Xenopus tropicalis: one gene and its partners. The protein of the gene in region 4 binds, or shares a complex with, the protein of the main gene of each other region. Links are inferred from orthologs where the notes say so. Each region holds a gene or a part of one and is shown on either strand. Other genes may lie near its edges.

Evidence for each region.
Region 1: rnf113a (region 4) and bcas2 share a complex: the UniProt entries of both Homo sapiens proteins name them as parts of the pre-catalytic and catalytic spliceosome complex. The link is inferred for Xenopus tropicalis from reciprocal best matches to the Homo sapiens genes RNF113A and BCAS2.
Region 2: rnf113a (region 4) and rbm48 share a complex: the UniProt entries of both Homo sapiens proteins name them as parts of the minor spliceosome. The link is inferred for Xenopus tropicalis from reciprocal best matches to the Homo sapiens genes RNF113A and RBM48.
Region 3: rnf113a (region 4) and cript share a complex: the UniProt entries of both Homo sapiens proteins name them as parts of the minor spliceosome. The link is inferred for Xenopus tropicalis from reciprocal best matches to the Homo sapiens genes RNF113A and CRIPT.
Region 5: rnf113a (region 4) and rbm22 share a complex: the UniProt entries of both Homo sapiens proteins name them as parts of the pre-catalytic and catalytic spliceosome complex. The link is inferred for Xenopus tropicalis from reciprocal best matches to the Homo sapiens genes RNF113A and RBM22.
Region 6: rnf113a (region 4) and snrpg share a complex: the UniProt entries of both Homo sapiens proteins name them as parts of the minor spliceosome. The link is inferred for Xenopus tropicalis from reciprocal best matches to the Homo sapiens genes RNF113A and SNRPG.
Region 7: rnf113a (region 4) and snrpf share a complex: the UniProt entries of both Homo sapiens proteins name them as parts of the minor spliceosome. The link is inferred for Xenopus tropicalis from reciprocal best matches to the Homo sapiens genes RNF113A and SNRPF.

What each region holds. Positions count from the first base shown.
Region 1 is NC_030682.2:7,012,579-7,016,377, forward strand, and holds the end of bcas2 (pre-mRNA-splicing factor SPF27), read left to right. Parts: intron 1-938; coding exon 939-1,031; intron 1,032-1,491; coding exon 1,492-1,562; intron 1,563-1,695; coding exon 1,696-1,857; intron 1,858-1,980; coding exon 1,981-2,031; intron 2,032-2,296; coding exon 2,297-2,377; intron 2,378-2,889; coding exon 2,890-3,010; 3' UTR 3,011-3,299; downstream 3,300-3,799. UniProt on the Homo sapiens protein: Required for pre-mRNA splicing as component of the activated spliceosome. Component of the PRP19-CDC5L complex that forms an integral part of the spliceosome and is required for activating pre-mRNA splicing.
Region 2 is NC_030682.2:31,762,945-31,766,942, forward strand, and holds the start of rbm48 (RNA-binding protein 48), read right to left. Parts: upstream 2,801-3,998; 5' UTR 2,686-2,800; coding exon 2,575-2,685; intron 1-2,574. Other genes in the region: pex1 (peroxisome biogenesis factor 1), read left to right, coding at 3,028-3,138. UniProt on the Homo sapiens protein: As a component of the minor spliceosome, involved in the splicing of U12-type introns in pre-mRNAs.
Region 3 is NC_030681.2:19,972,044-19,976,237, reverse strand, and holds the start of cript (cysteine-rich PDZ-binding protein), read right to left. Parts: upstream 2,801-4,194; 5' UTR 2,799-2,800; coding exon 2,783-2,798; intron 1,699-2,782; coding exon 1,633-1,698; intron 102-1,632; coding exon 47-101; intron 1-46. UniProt on the Homo sapiens protein: As a component of the minor spliceosome, involved in the splicing of U12-type introns in pre-mRNAs. Involved in the cytoskeletal anchoring of DLG4 in excitatory synapses.
Region 4 is NC_030677.2:156,458,542-156,462,495, forward strand, and holds the start of rnf113a (RING finger protein 113A), read left to right. Parts: upstream 1-1,154; 5' UTR 1,155-1,172; coding exon 1,173-1,263; intron 1,264-2,141; coding exon 2,142-2,215; intron 2,216-2,542; coding exon 2,543-2,650; intron 2,651-2,891; coding exon 2,892-2,999; intron 3,000-3,533; coding exon 3,534-3,643; intron 3,644-3,767; coding exon 3,768-3,874; intron 3,875-3,954. Other genes in the region: noc4l (nucleolar complex protein 4 homolog), read right to left, coding at 910-1,056. UniProt on the Homo sapiens protein: Required for pre-mRNA splicing as component of the spliceosome. As a component of the minor spliceosome, involved in the splicing of U12-type introns in pre-mRNAs. E3 ubiquitin-protein ligase that catalyzes the transfer of ubiquitin onto target proteins.
Region 5 is NC_030682.2:89,081,480-89,084,901, forward strand, and holds the end of rbm22 (pre-mRNA-splicing factor RBM22), read right to left. Parts: intron 1,431-3,422; coding exon 1,305-1,430; intron 877-1,304; coding exon 749-876; 3' UTR 501-748; downstream 1-500. UniProt on the Homo sapiens protein: Required for pre-mRNA splicing as component of the activated spliceosome. Involved in the first step of pre-mRNA splicing.
Region 6 is NC_030679.2:122,085,895-122,090,180, forward strand, and holds the start of snrpg (small nuclear ribonucleoprotein G), read right to left. Parts: upstream 2,801-4,286; 5' UTR 2,774-2,800; coding exon 2,742-2,773; intron 2,128-2,741; coding exon 2,105-2,127; intron 1,297-2,104; coding exon 1,172-1,296; intron 1-1,171. Other genes in the region: protein FAM136A, read left to right, coding at 3,199-3,285. UniProt on the Homo sapiens protein: Plays a role in pre-mRNA splicing as a core component of the spliceosomal U1, U2, U4 and U5 small nuclear ribonucleoproteins (snRNPs), the building blocks of the spliceosome.
Region 7 is NC_030679.2:57,034,490-57,038,748, forward strand, and holds the start of snrpf (small nuclear ribonucleoprotein F), read left to right. Parts: upstream 1-1,459; 5' UTR 1,460-1,587; coding exon 1,588-1,590; intron 1,591-2,459; coding exon 2,460-2,585; intron 2,586-3,580; coding exon 3,581-3,645; intron 3,646-4,259. UniProt on the Homo sapiens protein: Plays a role in pre-mRNA splicing as a core component of the spliceosomal U1, U2, U4 and U5 small nuclear ribonucleoproteins (snRNPs), the building blocks of the spliceosome.

The DNA of each region.
Region 1 (3,799 bases), on a different chromosome or scaffold from region 4:
GCCCCTGTGTGTCACATGACTCCCATTGGGGGCATTTCTACTGTAAATAACCGGTCTGTGCTGCCCCTGTGTGTCACATGACTCCCATTGGGGGCATTTCTACTGTAAATACCCGGTCTGTGTTGCCCCTGTGTGTCACATGACTCCCATTGGGGGCATTTCTACTGTAAATACCCGGTCTGTGCTGCCCCTGTGTGTCACATGACTCCCATTGGGGGCATTTCTACTGTAAATAACCGGTCTGTGCTGCCCCTGTGTGTCACATGACTCCCATTGGGGGCATTTCTACTGTAAATACCCGGTCAGTGCTGCCCCTGTGTGTCACATGACTCCCATTGGGGGCATTTCTACTGTAAATACCCGGTCAATGCTGCCCCTGTGTGTCACATGACTCCCATTGGGGGCATTTCTACTGTAAATAACCGGTCTGTGTTGCCCCTGTGTGTCACATGACTCCCATTGGGGGCATTTCTACTGTAAATAACCGGTCAGTGCGGCCCCTGTGTGTCACATGACTCCCATTGGGGGCATTTCTACTGTAAATACCCGGTCAGTGCTGCCCCTGTGTGTCACATGACTCCCATTGGGGGCATTTCTACTGTAAATACCCGGTCTGTGCTGCCCCTGTGTGTCACATGACTCCCATTGGGGGCATTTCTACTGTAAATAACCGGTCAGTGCTGCCCCTGTGTGTCACATGACTCCCATTGGGGGCATTTCTACTGTAAATACCCGGTCAGTGCTGCCCCTGTGTGTCACATGACTCCCATTGGGGGCATTTCTACTGTAAATACCCGGTCTGTGTTGCCCCTGTGTGTCACATGACTCCCATTGGGGGCATTTCTACTGTAAATACCCGGTCTGTGCTGCCCCTGTGTGTCACATGACTCCCATTGGGGGCATTTCTACTGTAAATAACCGGTCTGTGTTGCTCTCAGGCTGCAGCTTTGGTGGAAGAGGAGACCAGAAGATATCGGCCTACAAAGAACTACCTGAGTTACTTGCCCACCCCCGACTATTCCGCATTTGAGGTAATGGCTTTCTCCCTATTCTGCAGCACCCTACACTGGGTGCCCCTCTGCTCTATTCACGGTGGTTGCACATTGGCCAACCAAATGGCTTCCCTGCTAGAGAACTCACCCTGGCAACTAAGAACCTATTGCTCTGTGAGGCTTCAATTTTATTGTTACTGTTACTTTTTATCCAGCCCCTCCCCTATACTCATTCACACCACTGTCTGGTTGCTAGGGTAAATTTGACCCTAGCAACTTGATATCTCTGCAAAATATTAATACTTCATTATTCATTCTGCTACTACTCGTCCTTATGTCTGTCAGTTCTCCAAAGATTGCTTTCATAGTCCCATAACCCCGAGGGGTTTGCATGCACAGAGCCCACCCTGGCACCTACTGGTGCTAATATCACGTGGGTGGGGGGCATGTTCCCTTCACAGAGGAGACCAAGATTCCAACTTTCATTCATTTTATTTAGACTGAAATCATGAGGAACGAGTTTGAAAGACTTTCGTCGCGCCAGCCCCTCGAACTGCTCAGCATGAAGAGGTGAGTGCCGTCTGGTTACTATGGGTTACTGGACCAAGATCTGTGCATTGCTTTACAGCCCTGTGGTTTCCATGTGGTCTCATTGTGCTGAAGGGTATCCGTGGAAATACCATACCCCTCTCTCTGATTCTAGGTATGAGTTACCGGCCCCCCTATCCGGCCAGAGGAACGACATCACCGCGTGGCAGGAATGTGTCAATAACTCCATGGCCCAATTGGAACACCAGGCCGTCCGTATAGAGAACCTGGAGCTCATGTCCCAGCACGGCTGTAACGCCTGGAAAGTCTATAACGAGTGAGTTGGGAACATGGCGTTGGGGGGGGGGGGGGGGGGGGGTGTTGATTTACAGCACAGGATATAGCATGACCCAATGATACTGCCGCCCTTCAGTCACGTGATTCTTCTGTCTCCTCCCAGGAACCTGCTGCATATGATCGACTGCGCGCAGAAAGATCTCCAGAAGTTACGGTGAGACGGCATTAAGCCCATACTAACCATATATATATATATATATATATATATATATATATATAATCCTTCCCTGGCCGTGGGGAAGAGAGCAGCCCAGAAGCAGGAAGTGCAGAGATTTAGAGCTCAGTTCCTGTGTAATTACTGGGATGAGCTTCGAGTTACCTACGTGGGGTAGTTCCTAGCCCTGGGGTATTACTAGCAGTTGCACACTTCCATTTTAACAGCTCTAACGCTTTCACTATTTGTCTTGTTACCGGAACAGGAAAAAGATTCAGGACTTGAACTGGCAGAGAAAGAACTCCCAGCTGACAGCAGGTGCCCGACTCAGAGAGATGGAGTCAACGTAAGTGAGATTTGTGCATTTTGTTCACACCTAGGGTGAACTTATCAAGGGAATACCTACTCCCCTATACTGTATTTCCATGAATGAAGTACACACAGGCTTTGAGTGTGCCTAGCGGGCTGTTCCTGCTGAACAGGGGAATCCCTATGCTGCCATAGTTTTATGGTATCTCTCTGTACAGGCTATGAGCAAACTTAGGGGGCTGTTCCTGCTGAATTGTGCTTAGTACAGGGGAATCCCTATGTGCCATAGTTTTATGGTATCTCTCTGTACAGGCTATTAGCAAACTTAGGGGGCTGTTCCTGCTGAATTGTGCTTAGTACAGGGGAATCCCTATGTGCCATAGTTTTATGGTATCTCTCTGTACAGGCTATGAGCAAACTTAGGGGGCTGTTCCTGCTGAATTGTGCTTAGTACAGTGTATGGTATTTATGGGATGCTAATATTTTAGCTTTAATAGAACTGGTAGTCATTTTCGTCTGTCTCTAACTTGCTTTCTGTGCCGGTTGCAGGTGGGTGTCTCTTGTGAGCAAAAACTACGAGATTGAGAGAGCAATTGTGCAAATGGAGAATGAAGTCTATCAGCTGAAAGAGAGGAGCGGGGAGAATAAGGAAAATATTGAAGATTATTAAGGCCCTGCCCCAAGGATTACAGGTTCCAGGGTAACAGCACCGGTCCTGCTGCAGAGACTCTGGCGCCATGTTGGGCAGCGCTGCTGGGGGTTCTGGTTGCTTTATGGCTCTTCACTCTGGAAATGTAGCGAGTAGTCTCTGCCTGGGTGCTGATAGGCGCAGGGATGGGTCTCCCTGTTTCACCCAAATGCCCCAGTGCTGCCTCGTAGGCCGGGCACATACCGGCTTTTATAAGGAAATTCTGACTTGTTTTTCACTGTAATATTAATAATAAAGTGTTTTCCAGAAATCTTCCACTTTTATCATCCTGTGCGCTCCTGGGGGTCTGTACTGAGCACCCCACACAACCGTAACCCTGGCCTGGGTGGGGGCACACCATTATATATTAGATAGCACCCCCGTCTCTGCACAAGTGCCTGATCTCACCAGAGGGAAATAGGTATGTTCTGAGCTGGGACGGATTTCCCACATGGGCAGCTTCGACAGATAACGGGTCATGTGTGTAACAGTGAGAGGAAATCAGCGTAAAAACCAATGAACTGTCTTCTATAGGCCATAGAGATACAGTGGGAAAGCCTGGCATTGCCCTTCCTCCTGGGTCTCATCTGTTTTTACAATGTTAATATCATGAAGGTGTAACAGGAGCGCCCCCTGCTGTTCTGTGCAGGCGGAGACACAAGCAGCACTGAGCCCAGAGACACTTCCAGCATCAGCAAATGAAACTTTTCCCCTATCTGTCTGGCTCTGACTTGGTGTGAATACTGCAAATAGCATGGAAACTAAAGAAGT
Region 2 (3,998 bases), on a different chromosome or scaffold from region 4:
AACTGATTGCCATTTGTTTCTTTCTTCATCTCGTGTGTTTTTCTTTTTGGAGGGAGACTTCTAGCCAATCCATGTGAAACAGGTGAAATAATAGGTGAATATATAAAATTTACTTTTAAAAAAAGACAGTGACGGGGTTGTTTCTCTATCCACACTTGTAGCATATATTTACGAGCAGCTGCAGATATGATAAACAGTACTTTTCTACTCCCCCAATAAGTCTAGTATTTGGTAGGGATACCAAACATTGTCAATTTTGGTAACATAGGAACATAATCCATTTTGGTAACATAGGAACATAGTCTAGCAAGTTATCAATGGCATAACAAGTTATTGATACCCAAAACTTTTTACTATGAGGACATGTCCAGAAACAATTAAATAAATCTGCCTCCAGAGAGTCCTATTTGGGACTGACTTTTGGCGAGTAGTAGGCTCAATAAAAAGAATTTTAGATGCATTTCTTTATATGATCCCATTGGAAGACATTTATTTGCATACTGTAAGGCCTTGAGACATTTGTAATTGAGAAAATTTCAGAAGCCATTTGTTGTGTCCCTTGGTGGAAGAAGTATAGACTATCTGCTTATATAATAGACAGGGTTGGAATGACAGCACACGCAGGATGTTTTTCAAGAAGAATCACAGAGGTTTAGGGCCCTTTTGTGCTTAAAAAGGTTTGTACTGCACTGTGATGTTACTGTCCCTGATGAAAGTTCCAGATAGGAACTGAAACGTCGGACTGAATAAAGCCTCACATTTATTTATCTAAACCTCTGTGATTCTTCTTGAAAAACATCCTGCGTGTGCTGTCATTCCAACCCTGTGTATCTACGCTTTCAGCACTGGCACCCAGGTATTAACTTGCTCTTATGGTGTGCAGCTTTCCAGCAACTCATTTCTGCTTATATAATAGTTTAAAGCCCAGTGATATAGCTCTCTTGGCGGGAGGATGGCTATATAATTTTACTGGTATCGCTTTTGAAGGAAAGCCAGTAACTTGCTAGAAAGCACTGGATACTTTTCTTTGGCTTGAACATACGTTAAAGTTTTTCTATTTGCATCATCTGTAAAATGGCTTAATCAAGCCAGAGTGATACAACTGTTTGTATATGCCATGTTTGCCATACTGTATAAAGCAAATGGTTATCTGTCCAAGTATTCAGCAAGGAATCAACAGTTTTTAAAGTCCTAAACTAAAGATTTCTCTGCGCAAAAGCCTGATTCTTCATTAGTACCACAGATTTGTGTGTTATATAATTAACGCAGCAACTGGGAATATTGTTTTCAAGGCATGGGGCAAAATACAGTGAAATATCACCAAAAAAAAGCCTGTTCCAGGCTGCTAAAAAATAAACATTAATCTTTCAGTAGAACAGTGATCCCAGTGATCAAATGGCTCTGTCACAGGCCTGACCTCAATCCAGCTGAGAATCTCTGGCATTATATGAATAAATCTGACTGGGTGCAATAGCCGAGGGCTACAGGCACAAAACTGAGATGAGGCACATTTTCAGTTTTTGGTCAAAATATAATTTTTTTTATTTCTCAAACATTTAAAATTTAAATGCACATCAGCATCTTACATTTGTCACATGATATGGAAAGCTTAAAACAGACCCTTACAAGTCAATCTTGGTAAGCGTCAAATTTAAACTTTTTTTTTTTTTTTAAATATACCCCTCAGTTTAACGTGAACCCAGTAACTGAGTGCATTATACTCTTCTTTATGAAATTAAAAGAAAATAGTATCAGTTTGTGTGTGTTTTTTTTATATGCAGACATGTTAAGTGTGCTGGTTGTATGAGAATGTGTGCAGAGTGAAATGATGTAATGTTACAGGGCAAGGAAAGGGAAACTGGAGTGTGTGCTAGGGCAGACCCTGCAGTTGGAAGGGGGCCCAGGAATGGAAGTGGCCCAGGAATGGAAGTGGCCCAGGAATGGAAGTGGCCCAATAAGACCCTAATTGATGAGAAATGTCAATGTATCTTGGTAGAATAGGTTAACATACAAATATTTTTTGGGCCCTAAATTGAAATTGTTGTGGTACCCCACTGGCTTGCAGTATACATGACTGCTGGTGTAACTAGAGACCACTGGGCCCAACCACAAAATTATCTTTTTATTCATAAACATATATTTAGCCTTATCAGTTGCAGCCACTGGGTCTGTGACATCTATAATTACAATCATGGGAAATAGCCCATAGTTTATAATGAAACCTACTGCCTCCAAATGGTGAACTAGAACTCTAATCCCTCTCCCACACTATTCCCCTATCAGTGGGTGCAGATAAAAAGGCAGCATTTTTTCCTTCAGTGGAACAATATGCTCCTATGTAGAAACAGAAATCATTACCAGTTCCCACACAGTGCCCAATTAAAACCACATGAATATAGAAGAGCTAACATTCTTATGGAAGCTGTAACTCAGTGATAACTCTAGGGAGCAATTTCTACGAAGGGAAACCTGCTAGAGCGGCACTGGCGCTCAGTCCCACCGCAAGAATACGCTGGAATACTAGTTGTGTGGACGTATAAAAACCAAAACAAAAACTGTAAATGTTTCACGCACTTTGACTGCTCTGGGCCTCCGTCCTTCGCGGTACTTGGCCCGTGAGGCGCATATCTTTCGCTGCTCATGGTGTGCGTAGGCCTGCACTTGCACTGCTGCGCTTTCTGCCATCGGCTTCTGCTGTCTAAGAAATAGTTCCCTCTCTCCCTGTACCAAACACAGGCCGGGACACAGAACCAATAGGCGGAAAGGCAGCAGAACCAATAGGCGGAAGGACTGCCCCGCACACAGGCGTCATTAGAGCACGCCATTCTCTGATTGGGCGGGAGGTACTATACGTCAGCAGACACAGGGTGAGTGGGATTTCCTCGATTGTCAAAGGTGAAACAGCGCGGAAGTTACCCAGTAGGCATGAAGGAGCTGATAACGTTAGCGATGGAAGTTCTGTTACTTGCACGTTCGTCATACACAGCGCTGGAGTGAAGGGGGTTGCTGTGGGTACGCCACAGTAGGATGCTAGGTCCGGGACCGCCCGGGGCTGCTGTGTCCCTGAAACTCACAAGTGCTAAGGACACATTTTTGCGTGTGACACCTGAGGTGCTCGCACAATTACGCCTGGAGCAGGTAACTCTAACCGGGGCCCGTCTGTCCGTGATGGGCAGCACTTGTTTATTTTAATATGATGCCTGTAATGGCCCTGTCCGGGCACTAACCAGGGCTTTGGGATTCTCAGGTGATTCTACATGGAAAGCAGGAGGGAGTTTAGTAACATGACATGAGGTGTATTTGTGTAGGTGTCAGAAAAGGATTAATAATATCAACTGGGATAATAGCCTCTGGGAAGGGACTGGGGCTGTGGGATAGCAGGTATAGTAGGGAGAGATGGTGCCTATAGTAGCAGTGGGGGGATAATAGCCTCTGGGAAGGGACTGGGGCTGTGGGATAGCAGGTATAGTAGGGAGAGATGGTGCCTATAGTAGCAGTGGGGGGATAATAGCCTCTGGGAAGGGACTGTGGCTATGGGATAGCAGGTATAGTAGGGAGAGATGGTGCCTATAGTAGCAGTGGGATAATAGCCTCTGGGAAGGGACTGTGGCTGTGGGATAGCAGGTATAGTAGGGAGAGATGGTGCCTATAGTAGCAGTGGGATAATAGCCTCTGGGAAGGGACTGTGGCTGTGGGATAGCAGGTATAGTAGGGAGAGATGGTGCCTATAGTAGCAGTGGGGGATAATAGCCTCTGGGAAGGGACTGGGGCTGTGGGATAGCAGGTATAGTAGGGAGAGATGGTGCCTATAGTAGCAGTGGGGGGATAATAGCCTCTGGGAAGGGACTGTGGCTATGGGATAGCAGGTATAGTAGGGAGAGATGGTGCCTATAGTAGCAGTGGGATAATAGCCTCTGGGAAGGGACTGTGGCTGTGGGATAGCAGGTATAGTAGGGAGAGATGGTGCCTATAGTAGCAGTGGGATAATAGCCTCTGGG
Region 3 (4,194 bases), on a different chromosome or scaffold from region 4:
CACTGAACTCAAGTTGAAAAGGAGACACTGTGTGATTAGTACTCACCTTGCAGTCTTTGATGTCAGTGCCTTGTTCTCATTTAGTTTTCTGCCTCCACTTTCTGTGTAAAGAGAGAGAAAAATCAATAACCAGAAGAATACTGTAATAATCCTTTCCCACAGAAGCCAAATGTGTTTGTTTAATTAAATAAATTAGAAATATAAGCCTCCCATCAAGTCCCCCATTTGAAACATTGTACATAATACTATAGAGAGGTTACCAGCTCCAGGACTTAGGGGCCATAGGCAAACAAATGAAATATTTTGGATTTTTTCTTTTACTTGAGCAAACATTAATTCTGACAGGGACTGTTGTGCCAAAACAAGACAAAAAAATACTGCCTATTAAAATAAACAAACAGTGGCATATTCACTAAAGAAGGCTTACGTGTGAATGGAACAATTCATCAAAAAATGAAAGTCCGCCACCCCAGTTGAAAATAAGCCTTAACCAGGTAGACCAAACAGAGCAGTTTTAGGGGTCCCTGGTGGTGCAGTTCTGGAGGAGGGAGGGAAGACTCTGGAAGTGGCCATGGCTTCAAACAGCCTCCTTTGGGTAAGCCAGTCACTGAATAAACTAAACCGACTGTTTTTCAAGCAAAAAAGTGTATTTTATACCATATTTATTTAGAAAAAAATAGCTTATCATCAATTTACAATAGGCAATAAAAATATCAGTTAATGCTTTTAATTGCATTACTCTGCTAATATTAGCTAGATACATGCAGCGATAACATTTCAGGTAAAGAGATTGTTAAAAAATGGCTAAAGATAATAACTGGTGGCACTTCATGGAGGCATTAAAGGAGAAGAAGTCATTTTGGCATTTAACTGCCAATAGGTTTGCCACATTAGTGCCACCTAGAACACTATATTTATTCTGCAGAAAGCATTGCCATACTTGAGTAAAGAGCCCTAGAAGCTTTCTCTTTTTAAGATTGCAGCTGCCATTTTAGCTTGGTCTCCATAGCTTCCTGTTTGCAGTCTAGCGTTATAGCTCAGATTACACATTCCTAAGGGAGGGGGGAGTGAGTCTTATGAATTCTTATGGGAGGGGGGAGCAGGAGAGAGGAGAGAGCTGCACTGACTCTGGTCACAGGAATGAAGGATTTTTCTGAGAGAGAAAGTCAGATACCCTAAGAACATGTTTACAAAAAAGTAGACAAGAAATCCTGTGTTTCTTTTGACAGAGGACTCAGTGCAGCGTTTCTGTGAGTGCTTATGACTGTATTTACATAGACCTTTCTGATAAAGTTTACTTAGTTTTTACCTTTCCTTCTCCTTTAACCAATGAGTTTATTCATATAAGCCTTTAGTGTACAAATGTTTTGCTTGTGTACTTATTAAGGGAAGCTGCATAGGTGGCAGAGGCACACTTTGAAGCCTTTAATAACACAGCACAACAGGTTCAGCCCTTAAATGTCACCATATATTTTACAAAAAAAATAAATATTAAAGTCTGCCTTTATATAAACAATATCTGGCCTTTATAATAGGATCAAAGTTCTGCCTCTGAAAGACTGGGAAGAGCAAGAAGTGCTAGTGGATTGATACACAATAATGCAAATCCGATTAAATGGCACCACAACTTACCAGTGGTATTCCTGGCACCGGATTTCCATGTGTCTGGAGTGATAACTGTGCCCAGTTTCTTCTCACCTGTCATTAAATACACGTCATTAGTTAATGCTGCTCCTGCACACACATATCCCTATCTACGTCCTTAAAGGAATACTGTCATGGGAAAACACGTTTTTTTCAAAACCCATCAGTTAATAGAGCTTCTGCAGCAGAATCCTGCATTGTAATCTGTTTTTCAAATATACAAACAGATTTTTTTTATATTTAATTTTGAAATTTCACATGGGGCTAGCCATATTCTTCATTTCCCAGGGTGCCACAGCCATGTAACCTGTGCTCTGATAAACTTCAATCACAATTTACTGCTGCGCTGCAAGTTGGAGTGATATCCCCCGCCCCCTCCCAGCAGCCGATCAGCAGAACAATGGGAAGGGAGCAAGATAGCAGCTCCCAGTAGGTATCAGAATAGCACTCAATAGTAAGAAATCCAAGTCCGGCTTGGGACTCCTCCAGTTACATGGGAGTAGGAGAAACAATAGGTTAGCTGAAAGCAGTTCTAATGTGTAGCGCTGGCTGAAAGCTCAGACTCAGGCACAAGGCACTGAGATGGCGCCTACACACCAATATTACAGCTACAAATACATTTGTTGGTTCAAGAATAACATTTTAAATGGCAGAGTGAATTATTTGCTATGTAAACAGTGTAATTTAGAAATAAAAAGTATACCACATAAGTCATGACATTATCCCTTTAAAAACAACAGTAATTACATTCTCCCATACAGGTATCCAAAAACGTCAATGAGATAATCAGAATATATAGTGACAATGAGCAATACAGTCAGGGAGAATAGTAATAGCCGGCAGCACAGTAAGTATATTACTACGTATTGCGAACAGCGGATAAACCAGAGCTACAGCTATGTCTGCTTTATTTATTACTAACAGTAGGCACCCCTAGCAACCAACCAGCCATTGGCTTTGCTCAGCCAGTTGCGCAGACGAATGTGAAGGATAATATAAACAGGACGCCATGGTTTACAGCTGCTCGGCAAATGTATCCAATGGCAGGTGTAAGCGTTACCCACATAACACGGCTCTATGGGAGCTGCCCGGTACCAGGAAATACACCCAGCGAGATTAAACCCGGTTTGTTACTTACACTTATCGCACACCATGTCCCACTCCGGTCACACCAACAATCACACGGCTCTTGTCAACAAAGTTCCTTAGGAACGTCACTTCCGGATCTCGTCACCACCAATGGAAACCGCTCCGGAACGTCAACGTCAGTTGGCGGAAGCCGCCGCCTGATTGGCTTATGTGACTGTCTATCAAACACAGCTTCTGCTCCTTTTCAGGTGAGGGAGGAGGAACCAGAACCAGAAGTGGTGCAGGGTCAATGAGCGCACAGGTGAGTATTGGGAGACACAGCGGGACTTCCCTTCTACCCTTATATATATATATATATATATATATAGCTCAGTCTGTGGGAGTTTTGGTGCTGTTGAGCTACAGCTGCTTCCTTCCATTGGTGTGTTTGCATAAGCTCCTAGGGGGAGTGATGGGAGTTGTAGTAAAGACAATTAGCAACATGGGGTGTTCAGCCTGAAGGCCAGTTAGGGGAGATTGCCCATTACATACACAGCCCAGCCTGAAGGGCCAGTTAGGGGAGATTGCCCATTCTGTGGCTACATACACAGCCCAGCCTGAAGGCCAGTTAGGGGAGATTGCCCATTCTGTGGCTACATACACAGGGCAGCCTGAAGGCCAGTTAGGGGAGATTGCCCATTCTGTGGCTACATACACAGGGCAGCCTGAAGGCCAGTTAGGGGAGATTGCCCATTCTGTGGCTACATACACAGGCCAGCCTGAAGGCCAGTTAGGGGAGATTGCCCATTCTGTGGCTACATACACAGCCCAGCCTGAAGGCCAGTTAGGGGAGATTGCCCATTCTGTGGCTACATACACAGGGCAGCCCAGCCTGAAGGCCAGTTAGGGGAGATTGCCCATTCTGTGGCTACATACACAGCCCAGCCTGAAGGCCAGTTAGGGGAGATTGCCCATTCTGTGGCTACATACACAGCCCAGCCTGAAGGCCAGTTAGGGGAGATTGCCCATTCTGTGGCTACATACACAGCCCAGCCTGAAGGCCAGTTAGGGGAGATTGCCCATTCTGTGGCTACATACACAGGGCAGCCCAGCCTGAAGGCCAGTCAGGGGAGATTGCCCATTCTGTGGCTACATACACAGCCCAGCCTGAAGGCCAGTTAGGGGAGATTGCCCATTCTGTGGCTACATACACAGCCCAGCCTGAAGGCCAGTTAGGGGAGATTGCCCATTCTGTGGCTACATACACAGCCCAGCCTGAAGGCCAGTTAGGGGAGATTGCCCATTCTGTGGCTACATACACAGGGCAGCCCAGCCTGCAGGCCAGTTAGGGGAGATTGCCCATTCTGTGGCTACATACACAGCCCAGCCTGAAGGCCAGTTAGGGGAGATTGCCCATTCTGTGGCTACATACACAGGGCAGCCCAGCCTGAAGGCCAGTTAGGGGAGATTGCCCATTCTGTG
Region 4 (3,954 bases):
GCTCTCAGGAGTACATAGACTGTGATTACTATGGGGAGGAATATACAAGCTGTTACAGACCAAACAATAATCACAAGGGAACAGTTCCTGTGTGACTGATTCTATACCGTAATATAGGAGAACTGAAACTCGCAAACACATTTGTTGTTCTGTTTATGGAGGGGGTGAAAATGTGTGGTAATCGGAAAAGTGAGAGTCAGAAGGTTGCGGGGGATAAAGGGGAAAGTTAGGAAAAGTGTGAGATCAAAACAGAAGGTCCTGAATGAAAGGGCAGCGGAGGTAATAGGGAAAGCAAATGAGAAAAGACAAGAGGTTAGAAAGAATCTTTCATGGAATTGTCGTTGCTACTAGAATTTTCCTCTCCCATTACCCACAACTATGTATTCATGCCATTCTGTTTTCCCTGCACCACCCAGTGCTGATTCTGACTGCCAACAATTCGGCCTGATGTACCAGCAGTTCCACTCTTTTCAGACCTGAGCATTCAATCTTAGCTCTGCCCACCGCTGTCACGCCTTGCCCACCTGGCCCTGTCTGTAGGCTGCAGTCTTTTCTAAATAAATATTCAGACAGGATCTTTCTTGCTGATTAATAATAACATCAATTATACGTTGAGTAGGCTGGTAACCTTAGCAATCTGATATGTTACCCTCGCTAAAAGCTCTCTCTCTCTGCAAAAATGTAATTTTTCACATTTCCTTTTTTCCCTAATGGCCATCTCCCATCTGTCTTTTTCTATCACTGGTTGCCGAGCCCTGTTATAAGAACTTTAAAATACTTCCAGTCACACTGTTTAGACGTGCATACTGTCACACAAAATGTTGTGTTTCTGTTTCGTGCAAAAGATGTTCTTCTTTGTCAGGGCTGCTGTTATACTGTTTGCTAGCACACTGCAAAGCGGGCACTCACCTCCAGATGTTCCAGAATATCAAACACCGCGTTGGCATTGGTTCTACTTCCCAGTACTGCTGCGAGTTTGCTATCCAAATCGTGGCGCTCGGCATCACTTTGCTTGGCAAAGCTCGAACTCACACGTTTCGCTTTGCGCGCTGCCATCTTGCTACTGGAGCAACGCGACTTCCCCCCGGTAATGCGCCTGCGTGCGCTTTCTAAACAGGAAGTGGCCTCAGCCAATGCGCGCAATCTGGAGCTAGTCTGGCGTCACAGGAATAATGGCGGACTCTAACGCACCAGTTTGCAGTTTCGTGTTTAAAAAAAGTGCCCGAAAGTTCGCGGGACGGAAACGCAAAGAATCGGACAATGGTGAGACAAGGAGAAAGTGGGAGTGCAAATAAATGTTTATTATAATATAGTATTATAGGCATTACACGCTTACCGTGTATAAAATTCAGCAAAGTGTTGGGATGGAGTAAATGAGTTAAATGCAGAAGAGAGCGCAGATACAACTAATTGCGCAAGTGTTGTTGCTGTTAGCAACCAATAAGGTTTTTGCTTTTATTTTCAAACGTGTATATTGGCCAACTATTCGACTTTGTTCCTTACTCAAAACCACTATCTTAAAGGAGATGCAGGTGAGGGTGGCTGTATTGTTTGCTGGATATAATTACCATTAGAAATCAGTAGCATGTACCAGGGAATTAAGGTCCAAATGACAAAACAAAAATCAAACCCATCAAAGTATTTGCAAAACATTAACAACAACAAATATAATTATACATACAGCCTCATTTACTGTTCATTGGTACAGGTATGGGACCTGTTATCCAGAATGCTCAGGGCCTGGGGTTTTCCTGATAAGGGGTCTTTCTGTAATTTGGATCTCCATAACTTTAGTTTGTTAAAAATCATTTAAATATTGAATAGGATTGTTTTGTCTCCAATAAGGATTAATTATATCTTAGTTGGGAATCAAGTACAAGATACTGTTTTATTATTACAGAGAAAAAGGAAATCATTTCTAAAAATGTGAATTATTTGATTAAAATGGAGACTATAGGAGATCCGTAATTTGGAACTTTCTGGATACAGGTTTCCGGATAAGGGATCCCATACCTTTATGTCACTGGGCTCACATGCATTTGGTGTCTTAAATTTATCGAATTTCAGAATAGTACTTAGATGCATCTGTTGTATAAGTGTGTTGTACTATTCTGATCAGTCCTTTACTGATTTGTTTGCAGAGAGCAGCGAGGAAGAGAAAGGTCCAGTGATAAGGAGGATAAAGAAGGATGTGGTTAATCCCATGATTCAGAAGGTTAGAGTCACAGGTATTCACTATGTCACCCTGAGGCCCCAGGAGCATTAAGGAGCTTTATAAAATTTTCTGCCAGTTAATCTTTCAGAGTGGGCAGCAACACTTCTCCCAGATATTTCCTGTAGACCTCTCTGTTTAGAGATATAGATACCACATCATCTTCTCCTGGCAGCTAATGGCTGAATGGAAGCACAACACATGCCATAACCCTCTCCAGCCTGTCACCCTGTGTGCAGGACAGACGTTAACATGCCACAGAAGGGATGTGTGTAGTGTTTGTCCTCTTGAGCTTTCTGGTAGTTGTATTTACCTCTGTGTGTGATTTAGAGCAGGCAGCAACCAAAGGACTGTGAAGATTACAAAGCAAGCAGCAGTGAAGATGAGGACAAAACAGCGAAGTCTATCACTGTGTCTTATAAATCTACCCGATCTGCGGTAAGAGACTCTTTTGGAATTGGCTTATTCTTAGCACAGGCTTTATGTCATAAATGTTAAAATCTTTGAAACCCATCATCAGTTAGTTCTTTGTGATATTTTATTCAGTTTGTGAATCAGCCTATGCTGTCTGTCTTGTTTCAATATAAATGATGCATTGAAAAAAAATCTGTATTTATAGAATGACATGTCTAAGACACCCCCCATTTCTTACTATGTATGCATTCTTTGTTTCTTGCAGAAACCAGTAGGGCCAGATGACATGGGAGCCACAGCTACATATGAACTAGACACTGAAAAAGACAAGGATGCTCAGGCAATTTTTGAGAGGAGCCAGAAAGTACAGGAAGTGAGTATTTAGTATGTGATGCAGTGGATTATATATTCACCTTAAACTATGAGAGAACCACTAAAGCAGAGAACCCCAACCTTTCTTACTCATGAGCCACAATCAAATGTAAAAAGACTTGGAGAGCAACACAAGTGCCATAAAAGTTTGTGGAGGTGCCAAATAAGATAGGTAGCCTCTATGCACACCATCAGCTTACGAGGCTTTATTTGTTAGCAAATCTTGTTTTTATTCAACCTAAACTTGCCACCAAGTCAAGAATTCAAAAATGAGCACCTGCTTTGGGGGCAGTGAGAGCAACATCCAAGGGGTTGGTGAGCAACATGTTGCCCCCGAGCCAATGGTTGGGGATCACTAAGGAATGCAATAAGTGTTAGTAAAGCATGCAGTGTTCTGCATGACTTACATGCAGTTTCTTTAAAAATTCTGTGCTTTTTTTCTCTTCACTTTACTTTCTTTAATATTGTAATACTCTCCTTTTCATAGATGACACTCTGTTTAGTTCCCACTATTTATTTTGCTTTAATCTGACAGGAGTTGAAGGGGAAGGAAGATGACAAGATCTATCGAGGAATCCACAACTACCAGAAGTTTGTGAAACCCAAAGATACCTCTATGGGCAATGCATCCTCTGGCATGGTTAGGTACGTGTACCCCTCCCACTTTCCATTCTGTTTTAATTTAGAAACATTTCACTTTTCAATCAACTGGGTGATTAAATCCTAATAGTTTAGTCTGCATTGATAACTTTAACTTTTATCATTTTAGGAAAGGACCAATACGTGCCCCAGAGCACCTCAGAGCCACAGTACGTTGGGATTACCAGCCAGATATTTGCAAAGATTACAAGGAGACTGGGTTCTGTGGGTTTGGAGGTCAGTTGCTGGATTGTGTTGTACCCCTTTCCATTAAATGTCTGTTGTTCCTTTGGCCCTTTTTGCCCATATTTTATTCT
Region 5 (3,422 bases), on a different chromosome or scaffold from region 4:
CCAGCTTAAGGGAGAGTCCATTACTTATCTGTAAACACTTAGGCAGCAAATATGTAGAAGTGTGCCAGAGTCACTTCTGATGCAACATTTCTTCCCCTAACACTAGCCCAGTCATTTTACAGACAAGCTGACCATGACTGCTTTTGTAATAGCAGCACATAAACCCTAGGTAGGCAAAATGTGGGAGCATGCCAAAAACTTACTGTGTGAACCGTTCTACAAGTTTCTCTCACCAATTGGTTACAAAGAATGGAAGGCAGACAAGGTAGTACCCCACCACAGGAACAATATATTAGGGCGCATCAACTAAGAAGTTTAAAAAAAAAAACCATATATATATAAAAACTTGATTCAAACATGGCCACAAAACCGCTACTGAAAAACAAGAGAGTGATGGCTAAAAATATTAAGCAACTGCATCATTTAGCTAAAATGCTTTTTTCACAATACAAATATGAATAACAGTTTTATAAAAAGAAAAAAAATGAAATTCAACCATCAAGAAGGTAAAAATGTTTATTTCCCTTAGGACAGTCATGGATCTTGAATCCTTTAACTTTGTCTTTAAAAGGTGCTTCCACCATGGCAGGTCAGTATTTTCCTTGTACCAGAACAATCTGTGGTACATTGATACAAATGGTGCTGTGAATACCCATTTTGTTTCCTGAACATTAAATGCAAGTGTCCTTGACCATACAGGTCACGTTAGCCATCATACAGTTTCATTAGCTTCACCGTTACCAAAATGTTAACCACTGCTAGGTTTTCCTGCATGTGCTCCCATTCGTTGAGGGTCTTGTGATGGATAGTGGATATGTCCAGGAGCACGAAGGAATGGTGGAGGTGCCATGGGTGGGAACATGTGTGGGCCATATCCTAAAAAACACAAGATAAACAGTTGCACACCACCAGAGAACTGTGACTTGAGTACAAATAGCCACTGTAACACACATTTTATATTAAAAACACATCTTTCAGTCAGCATACTATTTATTCTACCCTATGAACAAATAAATGGAAATATGCTATCTTTTCCAAAAGATAAAAAAAATCAATATACACACAGTCTGCTACTACAGAGGTTGGTGTAGGGCAATATTATTAATAATACATTAATTGTAATGAAATCTGCTATAAATGTGTGTTTTAATTAAGCAACAGAGTACAACTAGTAGAGAAAATGTCCAAAACACAATGCAAAAATACTAAGGATACAGTTATATTGCTCCTGAGCTAATGTAGGATTCTGAATACTCTCAGTATGTAAAAAGTGCCTTTACATGGAAGCTTGTAACAAACATTACCTGGAGGTGGCCCACTTAATCCAGGTGGAGGTGGAAGAGAAATGTTCACTAGAGCTGCTGACCCATTAGGAGGCAGGTTAAAGTAATTAGCTGAAGATTCTTCTTCTGTTGGTGGAGGTGGCAGGGCTGGAGATAGAACAGAAATGTTTTATTAAACAGGCTGATACTTTTAATTCATGATTCAATTTGGAAAGTCTCACTTATGAAGAAAGGCTGGCCAAGTTATATTTGTTTACACTGGAGAAGAGGCGCTTAAAGGACATGTAAAGCCTACATTTGCCTACAATATATATCAGTTAGGCAGGTCTCCCAAATTGCATCATTTGTACTGCATATATCCCCTCCGTATGCCAGCACCATCACATTTTCCTAAAGCAAATAGCAGCTTTCACCCGGTGGCCATTTTTCCTCTGCTACGTAATCAGATACATTTAAATCTGCAAACAGCATACACACACACAGACCCTTATTCAGCATACATTTCATCAAGAATACAGGCTCACACAGGCACAACTGTCTCTGATAGAAGTTTTGCTTTGTTTTGCACTGTAAAAGCTAAGCTCAGGAGAAACAAATTGAAGCAGACAGCTAAAGCTGAGTTTCTATGGGAACCAGCAATGCCATCTCTTTACTGGCTGCTAGACTGGGGGGCGTGTTTAGTAATCTGAGCTTAGAACAACTGAGCATGCCCACAAGCCAACAGCCAAAGCAAATTCCTAAGGGAGGGGGCTGAGTGGGTTACAGGAGGAGAAGGAAATCTAAGTGATTAAGGAGATGTTGCAGCCTTACTATTAACCTCTGGACAACCAGTATGGCAGTTATTTAAAGATTTCAAAGAGGCTGTTCACTGATTAAATTTTGTGTGTGTGGGGTTTACATGTCCTTTAAGGGGTGGTATGATAACTATGTATAAATATATAAGGGGATCATATAATAACCTCTCTAATGCTTTATTTACCAGTAGGTGCTTACAACTGACATGAGGGCACCCACTCAGTTTAGAAGAAAGGAGGTTCTGTTTAAATATTCAGAAAACCAGTCGTACTGGCTGATACATTATATAGCTTCAAGAAGGGGTTGGATGGCTTTTTAGCAAGTGAGGGAATACAGGGTTTATGGGAGATAGCTCTTAGTACAAGTTGATCCAGGGACCGATATGATTCCCATTTTGGAGTCAGGAAGGAATTTTTCCCCCCTCTGCGGCAAATTAGAGAGGCTTCAGATGGGGTTTTTTTTTTTTTTTGCCTTCCTCTGGATCAATCTGTTAAGCAGGTTATATATAGGCATTAAGGTTGAACTTGATGGATGGATGTCTTTTTTCAACCTAACTTACTATGTATTTTATAACAATCTTTATGAACTTGAAAATGCCACTGTTAACGTTAAAATTACTACATGTGTTTGCAAAAATTACAGTGCCAGACTATATCAGCGATACTGCCTAGGCGCTTCAGGTATCTATTAAATTATAGTTAAAAATGTATGTATGCAGTCAACACAGGCTTGGGCAGCTATTTGCTTGACTGGTAATGTGGACTTAAGTTGGCCAACCAGTTTATCAACATTTTGCTTGGAAAACTGGACAATCCTATTAAACCTCTTCAGCTCTTACAGCAATGGAACCCACAAAGTTTAAATTAAGCTACTTATGTCAGCACAGTTGGGAACTGTTAGGCTTCCAAACTGACTGTGTCACAGAACTTAAGGGTAAGCAACAGGCAATGATTTTTAGGGTGAAGACTACTCCAGAAAATACCCTGCCATAGACAATATTGAGAATTGCCTTTGCTAAAACAAATGTAGAGACAAATATTAGTAAATTATCAGCATTAGTCATGACAAGTAGCTGCTACTAGTAGTCTGTGTGTCTTCCCCCTTATTCCTTGGAAAAGTGACCTTATTAAGATTATAATTAAAATTATAAGGCATTGCTATTGTTGGGCAATACACAAGGCTGTACATGTCCAATAACATTATAAAGAAAAAAACATTTAAAAATTATATCTTTTTGACCAGAGCCTTAAAATAACATTTATTGGCAGCAACAACCAGCTTTCTTCTACATGAAAAATGTTTTCAACCTACAGGTGTGTTGAGAACCATGAACAACATCTGCCC
Region 6 (4,286 bases), on a different chromosome or scaffold from region 4:
TCATCCTACCCAGAAAACATGGGCTAGATCCCTCTCTTTAAACTGGCCATCTTTAAAGTACTAAAGCTGCTCAGCCGATTAGTCATTATTTAATCTGAACTTCACAGAAGCCAATACACTTTGCAATATTAGCTGCTAATAATCTGACCATATTCCACTAAATGCAGCCATACATGCTCAGATTTTGTAGTCTCACGACTGATTTCAGGACAAACTGTATAGCTGGTAGTGTACAAACAATTCTAGATGTAAGAATTTACTAATTGGCCCAACATTCTTAAAAATATCAGTTGGGCAACGATAAGAGTTGGTGTGAAAGTTGTCGTTGAACAGTCGCTTTCTGTGCATATATTGGCAGTACCTGCAGAAGTCAACGAACGCATATGACAAGACCCAAATGTTTGTTGCCAACCCTACATTTTAACCACATAAACACTATGAAAAGTCATGTGCATGCTGTTGGTAAATATAAATACAGGCAAAAGAATACCTTGCTGCAATACCAGCAAGCCAAGGCAACCAGCCACATTACAAACAAGCAGAACTCATTCGTTCACTTGTTGTAATAGCAAATAGCATACCAATATCGATAAAAATTGATGAAAAATACATCACTTCCTGTTTATACTGCTTCCGCCACAAGCTGATATAGCATTGTAGATGCACAATATTACTTTACCTTTTGGCAACAAAATGACGACATCTTTAACGTGCTACTTCTCTGTGGATAACATTGTATGATTAAATGCCATTTGTAAATGTAATTGCTATTGAAAGCAGCATTTGCCGAACTCCTGGTGGTTACTTTTTAAACAATGTTGCAAAAGTCAGTCTCCTTCCCCAAGTCAGGTCTGTCAGTTGGCTGCCTTGTGTTACATTGTTTCAAATGCCAGAGCCACCAGGGCAGAGAATAGAAAAGGACAGACAAACACTGCTTCTAATAGCAATTATATATACAAATAACTCAAAAACCATTACAAATTTGTAATAAATGTATATTGCAAAGCTGAGAATTCTGTTTTCTTTTATTAGGCAAAAAATTATATTTTGCGTTGCGTTGTCCTCAAATGTTAGTTTAAAAATTGGAAAATCTGACCATGAACGGCCACCCTAAATTACACACACAGTAAGGGACCATACAATATATGTTGCAGCTCAGTCTAACACTTACCACCATTCCAATGGTGTTTTGGTGGCCACCCCCTGATATCTCTGTGCACTCATCTATTACAAGGTTCATGAAGGGATCAAAGCCACGCAGAATCCCCTGGACATGTCTCCCACCATTTAACTTCACTGAAAGAAAGAAAAGAAAGGAAATTTGATCAGATGCTTCAAGGTTTTGGTGGTTTACTGGTTTGGGGAGTCACCTGGTACAGTTCCCTTATAACTGCATATATTTATATAGAGTGAGGAACAGCAGTCCTGTATCCTGAATAAATCCTTCATTGCACCATCTCTCTGCTGCTTCTTATTCTAAATAACACTGTTATTTGGCCAAGCACCTGAATAAGGTCCGAGCACAGACCTCATCATATATATTTTTATTTTTTAAAAGAAAACTATACCCCCAGAACGAATACTTAACCAACAGATAGTTTATATTTTGTTAAGTGGCCTATTAAAGAATATTGTCAAACTGGAATATATATTAGTAAATATTGCCCTTTTACATCCTTTCCCTTGAGCCACCATTTAGTGATGGGCTGTGTGCTCCCTCAGAGATCAGCTGACAGGAAATAATGCAGCTCTGACTGTAACAGGGAGTAGTGTGGGAGCAAAAGGCAGAACTCTGCCCATTCATTGGCTGATGGGGCCTAACATGTATGTGTGTCTTGGCTTGTTTGTGTGCACTGTGAATCCTATGATCCCAGGGGGTGGCCCTTAATTCATAAAATGGCAATTTCCTATTTAGTACCACCCGATAGCACATACTACTAAAAAAATAATATTTTTAAGAAAATGGTTTATTTAGATTAATTTAGTTTTACATATGAGCTTGTTTATGAAACATTTTTATAGAGACCTACATTGTTTGGGGGGTATAGTTTTCCTTTATTTTTTTTTCTTTTTACAAGTAGATGGAAAATTTTTCAATACTTACAAGACAGTTTCTTGTCCATGAACCTAAAAGTAAAAAGTACACAACATTTAAATACATTATATTATAATAATAACTCAACAAGACCTAATCACCTGTGCTCAGATCACTAGACTAGGGACCCAAGAGAAGCCAATGCAGTTCCCTTATAGGGTTAGTATCAGGCATAAGAGCTACTTCACTCTTCCCAGAGATCCATGTGCACATTATGAAATACTAGAATCCTTAATGAATCCTATGACTGCGACTGATGTAGTTGGCCAGCTTGGAGTATATTGCAATATATGGGCAATCAATCAGTTTGACCACAAAATATAATTGGAAGATATGTGGGAATCGAAAAGATCCCCATTTCTTTCTGTGTGAATGATGTGGTTGCAGCCTCCATGCTCCAAAACGGGCCATTCAACATGAAACAGCGCAATGGAGGCTGCAGGTTTGGGTGTATGTTCCCCGGCTACAGCCTAAGCCGCCCCTCCGCTCTGCCCCTCACTTGCCCTCCGCTCTGCCCCTCACTGCCCCCTCCGCTCTGCCCCTCACTTGCCCCCTCCGCTCTGCCCCTCACTTGCCCCCTCCGCTCTGCCCCTCACTTGCCCCCTCCGCTCTGCCCCTCACTGCCCCCCCCCGGGCCGTTCCTTACTTCTTCAGCTCGGGCGGGTGCGCTTTGCTCATTTTCGTTCCTCGTGTACAAAGCCCCGGTCGCTGCCGCCAAGTAACGCAGTCGCCTTAATGTGACGTAAGCACGTCTTACGTGTATGCGCTTCCCCGCCCACCCCCACGGTCGCTATGACGACCACCAAAGAATACAAAGGAGACGCGTTAGCCGGCTTTAGTTGGGCTAAATATAACATTGTGTATCAAATATTAAAGTATATAAGAAATATTGCAAATTTGATTACATATATACGTTTTCCCTGATTGGTTATAGAAGAATTTAACAAAAACTTGGGGCTATGGAAGCTAGTCGGTCAGCTTAGATGTCTGCCGCAAAACAACGTAGATGCCGTAGAGTTAGAGTAAGGGCAAGCCGTAACCGGAAGGGTATGTGTAAGGGCGGAAGAGAGGTGCGTTGCCCTTGGAGCACACGCTTGTCAGACATGGCAGAGGAACAGCAGAACCGGCTTCAAAATGCGATAGACACTATGGTGAAGAGCTTGGAAAGGGACAACATTAGGAAAATGCAGGTACCATAGTCTGGTGTAATTAGTCTTATGTCATAGGGCGTTACAGCCCATCTTCCATTACTTCTTTTATTATACTCTGCTGCCATTCAAAGTCCCCCTGGGGTAGCACTCCCATGCACTTGAATGGAAGGGGCACAAATGCCTGGGGGTCCAATAGGAATTGGTCATTTTTAATGTACAGGACTAATGGCTGTGGGATGCCTTATATACCAGGTTTTACTTGTCCTTTAATATAACATACTAGTTTTCCTGCTACATTTGCTTAGCACAGGGACTTATCTTTCTGTTCAGGTTTCTGTTCCTTACCATTAAACCGCAAGTACTGTTGCTGCAAACTTCATCAGAAATGGGTAGGGCAAAAAGAAACTGGGGCAAAAAGAAACTGGGGCAAAAAGAAACTGGGGGAAAAAGAAACTGGGGGAAAAAGAAACTGGGGCAAAAAGAAACTGGGGGAAAAAGAAACTGGGGCAAAAAGTTCAAATGAGTAAAACTTATGTTTGAAAGCCACAGTGTGGCCCAAGCCTCTTAGCAAAGGAAATCTATACCCCAGACAATGTAGGTCTCTATAAAAATATATTGCATAAACAGCTCAGATGTAAAACCCTGCATCTTCTAAATAAATTGCATGAAAATATACTTCTTTTAGTAGCACGTGCTATTGGGTAATCCTACATAGAAAATTGCCATTTTATATATTAAGGGCCTCCTGCTATTGTAGCACACAAACACACCAAGGGCATGCACTGAATCCGGGATTCGGTGCAGGATTAAGTCTAATCCAAGGTCCTGGCCGAACCAAATCCGAATTTTTAAAAACACCTGTCTTTTTGTCACACTCTGCGTGGGGTTCTCTTTAACCCTTACTTGCCTTAATTTGTATGTACAAATTTGGTTTGGAATTCGGTCAAATCTTTAACAAAGGATCCAGGGTTCGGCCAAATCTGAAAATAGTGAATTTGGTGCATCCCTATATACATATATTTTAATGTTGAAATTGTTTA
Region 7 (4,259 bases), on a different chromosome or scaffold from region 4:
ATACACATTTCCTCCCATACACAGTAGCCCCCCATACAGTATCCTCCCATACACAGTAGCCCCCCATACACAGTAGCCCCCAATTGCCCCCATGGAGAGTACCCCCAATAGAAAATGTCCCCATACACAGTAGCCCCCAATTGCCCCATAGAGAGTACCCCCAATAGAAAATTGCCCCCATAGAGAGTACCCCCAATTGCTCCCATAGAGAGTACCCCCAATAGAAAACACCCCCCATACACAGTAGCCCCCAATTGCCCCCATAGAGAGTACCTCCAATAGAAAATGCCCCCCATACACAGTGCCCCCCATTGACGCTGCTTCTTGTGGCTCCTGCTCCTTATGCGGCTCCTTCTACGGCGGCGACAGGACCTTTTATAAGGTTGCGCCCCGTGCGTACGTGTGACATCACACGTACGCATGGGCGCAACCTTATAAAAGGGCCTGTCGCCGCCGTACGAGGAGCCGAATAAGAAGCAGGAGCCACAGGACGAGACGGAGCCGGAGTGCTGGCTGCAGTCAGCGCATCCCGCTGGCCTGGATAGTTTAATGAATGTTCTGCATTTCCGTAATGCGGGACATTCATTGAACAATCCGGGACAGCGGGATGCGCTGTAAAAACCGGGACTGTCCTGCGAAAAGCGGGACAGTTGGGGGGTATGCAACCCACTTAGGGTCACAGTGTAATGCAACCCCTCTCTCACTTTTTCTTTCTTTGTAAAAAGCGCACAGATTCTGGTATAAAGGGGGACAGCTTGCATTACATTGGGAGACAAATGTGCTAAAGAGCACAGAGAAAACTATCATGGTTTTCTTTCTACCTGTGGAATCAGGTACTCCTGGGTGATATCACTCCAACTTGCAGCGCAGCAGTAAAGTGTGACTGAAGTTTATCAGTCACATGGCTGTAGCACCCTGGGATATGAAGAATATGGCTAGCCCCATGTGAACTTTTAAAATTAAATATAAAAAAAAACCTGTTGAAGTTCTATTAACCGATGCATTTTGAAAAAAAACCTTTTCTCATGACAGTATTCCTTTACCCATTCTAATTTTACCCTCCAAGTGCCACCAAGTCCTCGGAAAATCAAGGCTTCTAAATCTGGACTGTTGTGCATAATAGTGAATATAATTACATAGCGTTAACAAATAATCAAAACAAGGTACGAAATACAAATAGACGGGACGCAATGTTTGTATTTGTTGTAATTGCAGTCAGCGCAGTATAGCAACTTGCATTTATTAGAAATGCCTAATTGCGGTTCCTGGGGGAAGGCCCTGTAGTACTAGTAGTACTGAGGCGGCCCGGAGTCAGCACAGAGGGTGAGCCTTGTACAATACAACACCATTGTGAAATAATCCCGCCTCCACTGGCGATTGTTGGAGTCATGTTGGAAATCCAACTCCAGCCACTAGAGGGAGCAGTTAGCCATTCAACGCGTGTCGGCTCTCTATGGTCTTTTCTCCTGTCGCTTCCGGGCCTTGGCAGCCATTTCCCGCTTTGCTCCAGCGGTGTGTTCTACGGGACGCTCCGGGGAGGAATTTTTTTTATTGATCTGCAGTTTGTTGTGAGGCTGCGGTCGCACCATGGTAAGTACTGGAGGTGTGCGAGTTCCAGGCCTGGCGGGACAGGGGGTGTCAGTGTGTAGGGATGGGGGGGAGTGCAGGCAGCATGGTGTGTGGGGCTGTTCATTATCCCGAGTAGCAGCTTATCCCGCCGGATTTACAGAATGGGTTATGCAGTTGGTTCGGGTTTGTTTGGTTGCTTTATTGTTAGGCCTGTGTGGAAAGGCGTAACGTGTTATCTTTGCAGCGTGTGTACTCGCTAAGGGCACGTTGCACGGAAAGAGCCTGTATGTAAGGCGCGGTGTAGGCTGCGCTGAAATATAAGTAGCCATGCAGCGTGGGATGGTACTATCTCTACTGGGGATGAGCCGCGAACATGGGATGTTTGCGTCTGTTCTTAAAGCGGTGGCACATGGGAGTTGATAATTTCCTAAAGGCCATGTGTTCCTCTGCCTATCATATCTCAAGTGGTAATGCTACAAATGGCATGTTATACTGTTTGTACTGTGACTGCCCTCAGCCAGCAGTGATGTGCAGCCTTGTGGCCCTCCAGCTATTGAACTGCACTTTCAACTATCAGGAAGAATAAATAAATGCCCCTTTTTCATTTTACTGTGGTAGTGTAATAATATATAGCCTCCTACCAAAGAAAGGATGATTTCTATTAGATATGGATTTGTGGTTGTTGTTGCTGGCCGTGCCCCAAGTATCATTATTAGGCAGGTGTCCCCTTTTGGTTTCTTGGAAGGGAGCATGAGAAAACTGAGGACAAATAAAGGCAGAGATATAGTATTGAAAATGTATGCATATGATTACTTCAGGTTATTGCATGAGTTGACGTTTTAATCACAAGACCTATTGAATATTTATATTATAAATGATTATATTTTCAGAGTTTACCACTGAATCCAAAACCCTTCCTTAATGGCCTCACTGGTAAGCCAGTTATGGTAAAGCTGAAATGGGGGATGGAGTACAAAGGCTACTTGGTATCAGTGGATGGATACATGAACATGCAGGTAAGTAATAGCACTGAACATGTCAGATATTATAGTTGGTTACTTGCTGTTATAAGTTAATTTATTAGATTATTTAATAAAAAAAAATATATATTGTATGCATGTGTATATATAATTTATATTATATTCCCTTTATATTGTGCCAGAATTGTATCTGGGCTTTCCTGTTGCCATTTTAGAGCAGTGTATGAGACATTTGGATTGGATTGCCTCTGTCTCTAGTTAACACTAGGAAATTGCACAAGTAAAATGGTTTTGGGCATCAGCAGCCCATTGCTGGCAATGAAATACATTAAAGGAACAGTAACACCAAAAAATTAAAGTGTAAAAAACTAACTAAAATATAATGTGCTGCTGCCCTGCACTGGTAAAAGTTGTGTGTTTACTTCAGAAAGTCTTCTATAATTTATATAAATAAGCTGCTGTGTAGCCATGGGGGCAGCCATTCAAAGGAGAAAAGGCACAGGCACATAGCAGATAACAGATAAAACACTATTGTACTCTACAGAACTTATCTGTTATCTGCTATGTAACCTGTGCCTTTTCTCCTTTTTTCCAGCTTGAATGGCTGCCCCCGTGGCTACACAGCAGCTTATTATATAAATTATAGTAGTGTTACTGTAGCAAACACACCAATTTTACCAGTGCAGGGCAACAGTGCATTATATTTTCATTACTTTAAAGCTCTTTTATTTTTTGGTGTTACTGTTCCTTTAAGTGCTGCTTAAGGTTGCATGCAATTAGCTGGAGTGCTTGCCAGAGTGTTGTGACACTTTATAGTACCATTGCTAACCCTAGTAGCATTAGCACCAATTAGCCAGCTTAATTGCTTTTAAAACATAAGTAACAATTAATATTAATATTTCTGTATTGCAGAGTTTTTTTTTTTTATAGTAATGATGGTTGAGAAAGTAATGAGTGTCCATTATCCAAGGTTGCTGTGATGTGTGAGAAGCTTTTTCTGTTGGTTAATTCATTTATATATATTATTGCAGCTTGCAAACACAGAAGAATATATTGATGGTGCATTGTCTGGACATCTTGGAGAAGTTTTGATAAGGTAAGAATTGTGCACTGGGGATGCTTTGTAGGTGGTCACATTACAGCATATATGTCTGCTTTTCTGAAATAGAAAGCAAACTCTTGTCAGCATGTTAAGGCAACTGCATGTGCCATATAGATTGTAAGCTCTACGGGGCAGGGACCTCCATCCTCTTGTGTCTTTGACTCTTAACTTATTGCAACTGTAACTGTATCTTGTATGTATTTGTATTTATTGTTATACTTTGTATTTATCTATTATCTTATTAACCCCCTATTTGTATTAATGTATTCTACTGTACAGCGCTGTGTACATAAGTAGCGCTTTATAAATAAAAATATATATACATACATGTGAACCAGTGAAAAATGTAAAGTATATTCTGTAAAAAAAAAAAATGTACTTTTTAAATAGTTTCTTATCTAAACTGTGTAATTTAACAATTATTTAAAAAGGCAACAAATTGTCCTTTTAAATATTCTCTTTAAAGCACAACCTCCAAGGAGGCGTGAGTAGATTGCCCTTTTTTTTCTTGATAACTACCTAGTAGCAAGAATTGTATCCCTTCTCTAGAAAAACAATGTGACTGCTACCTTTTCTCTGCTAAACTGTTTAACTATTGTATTCCTTTT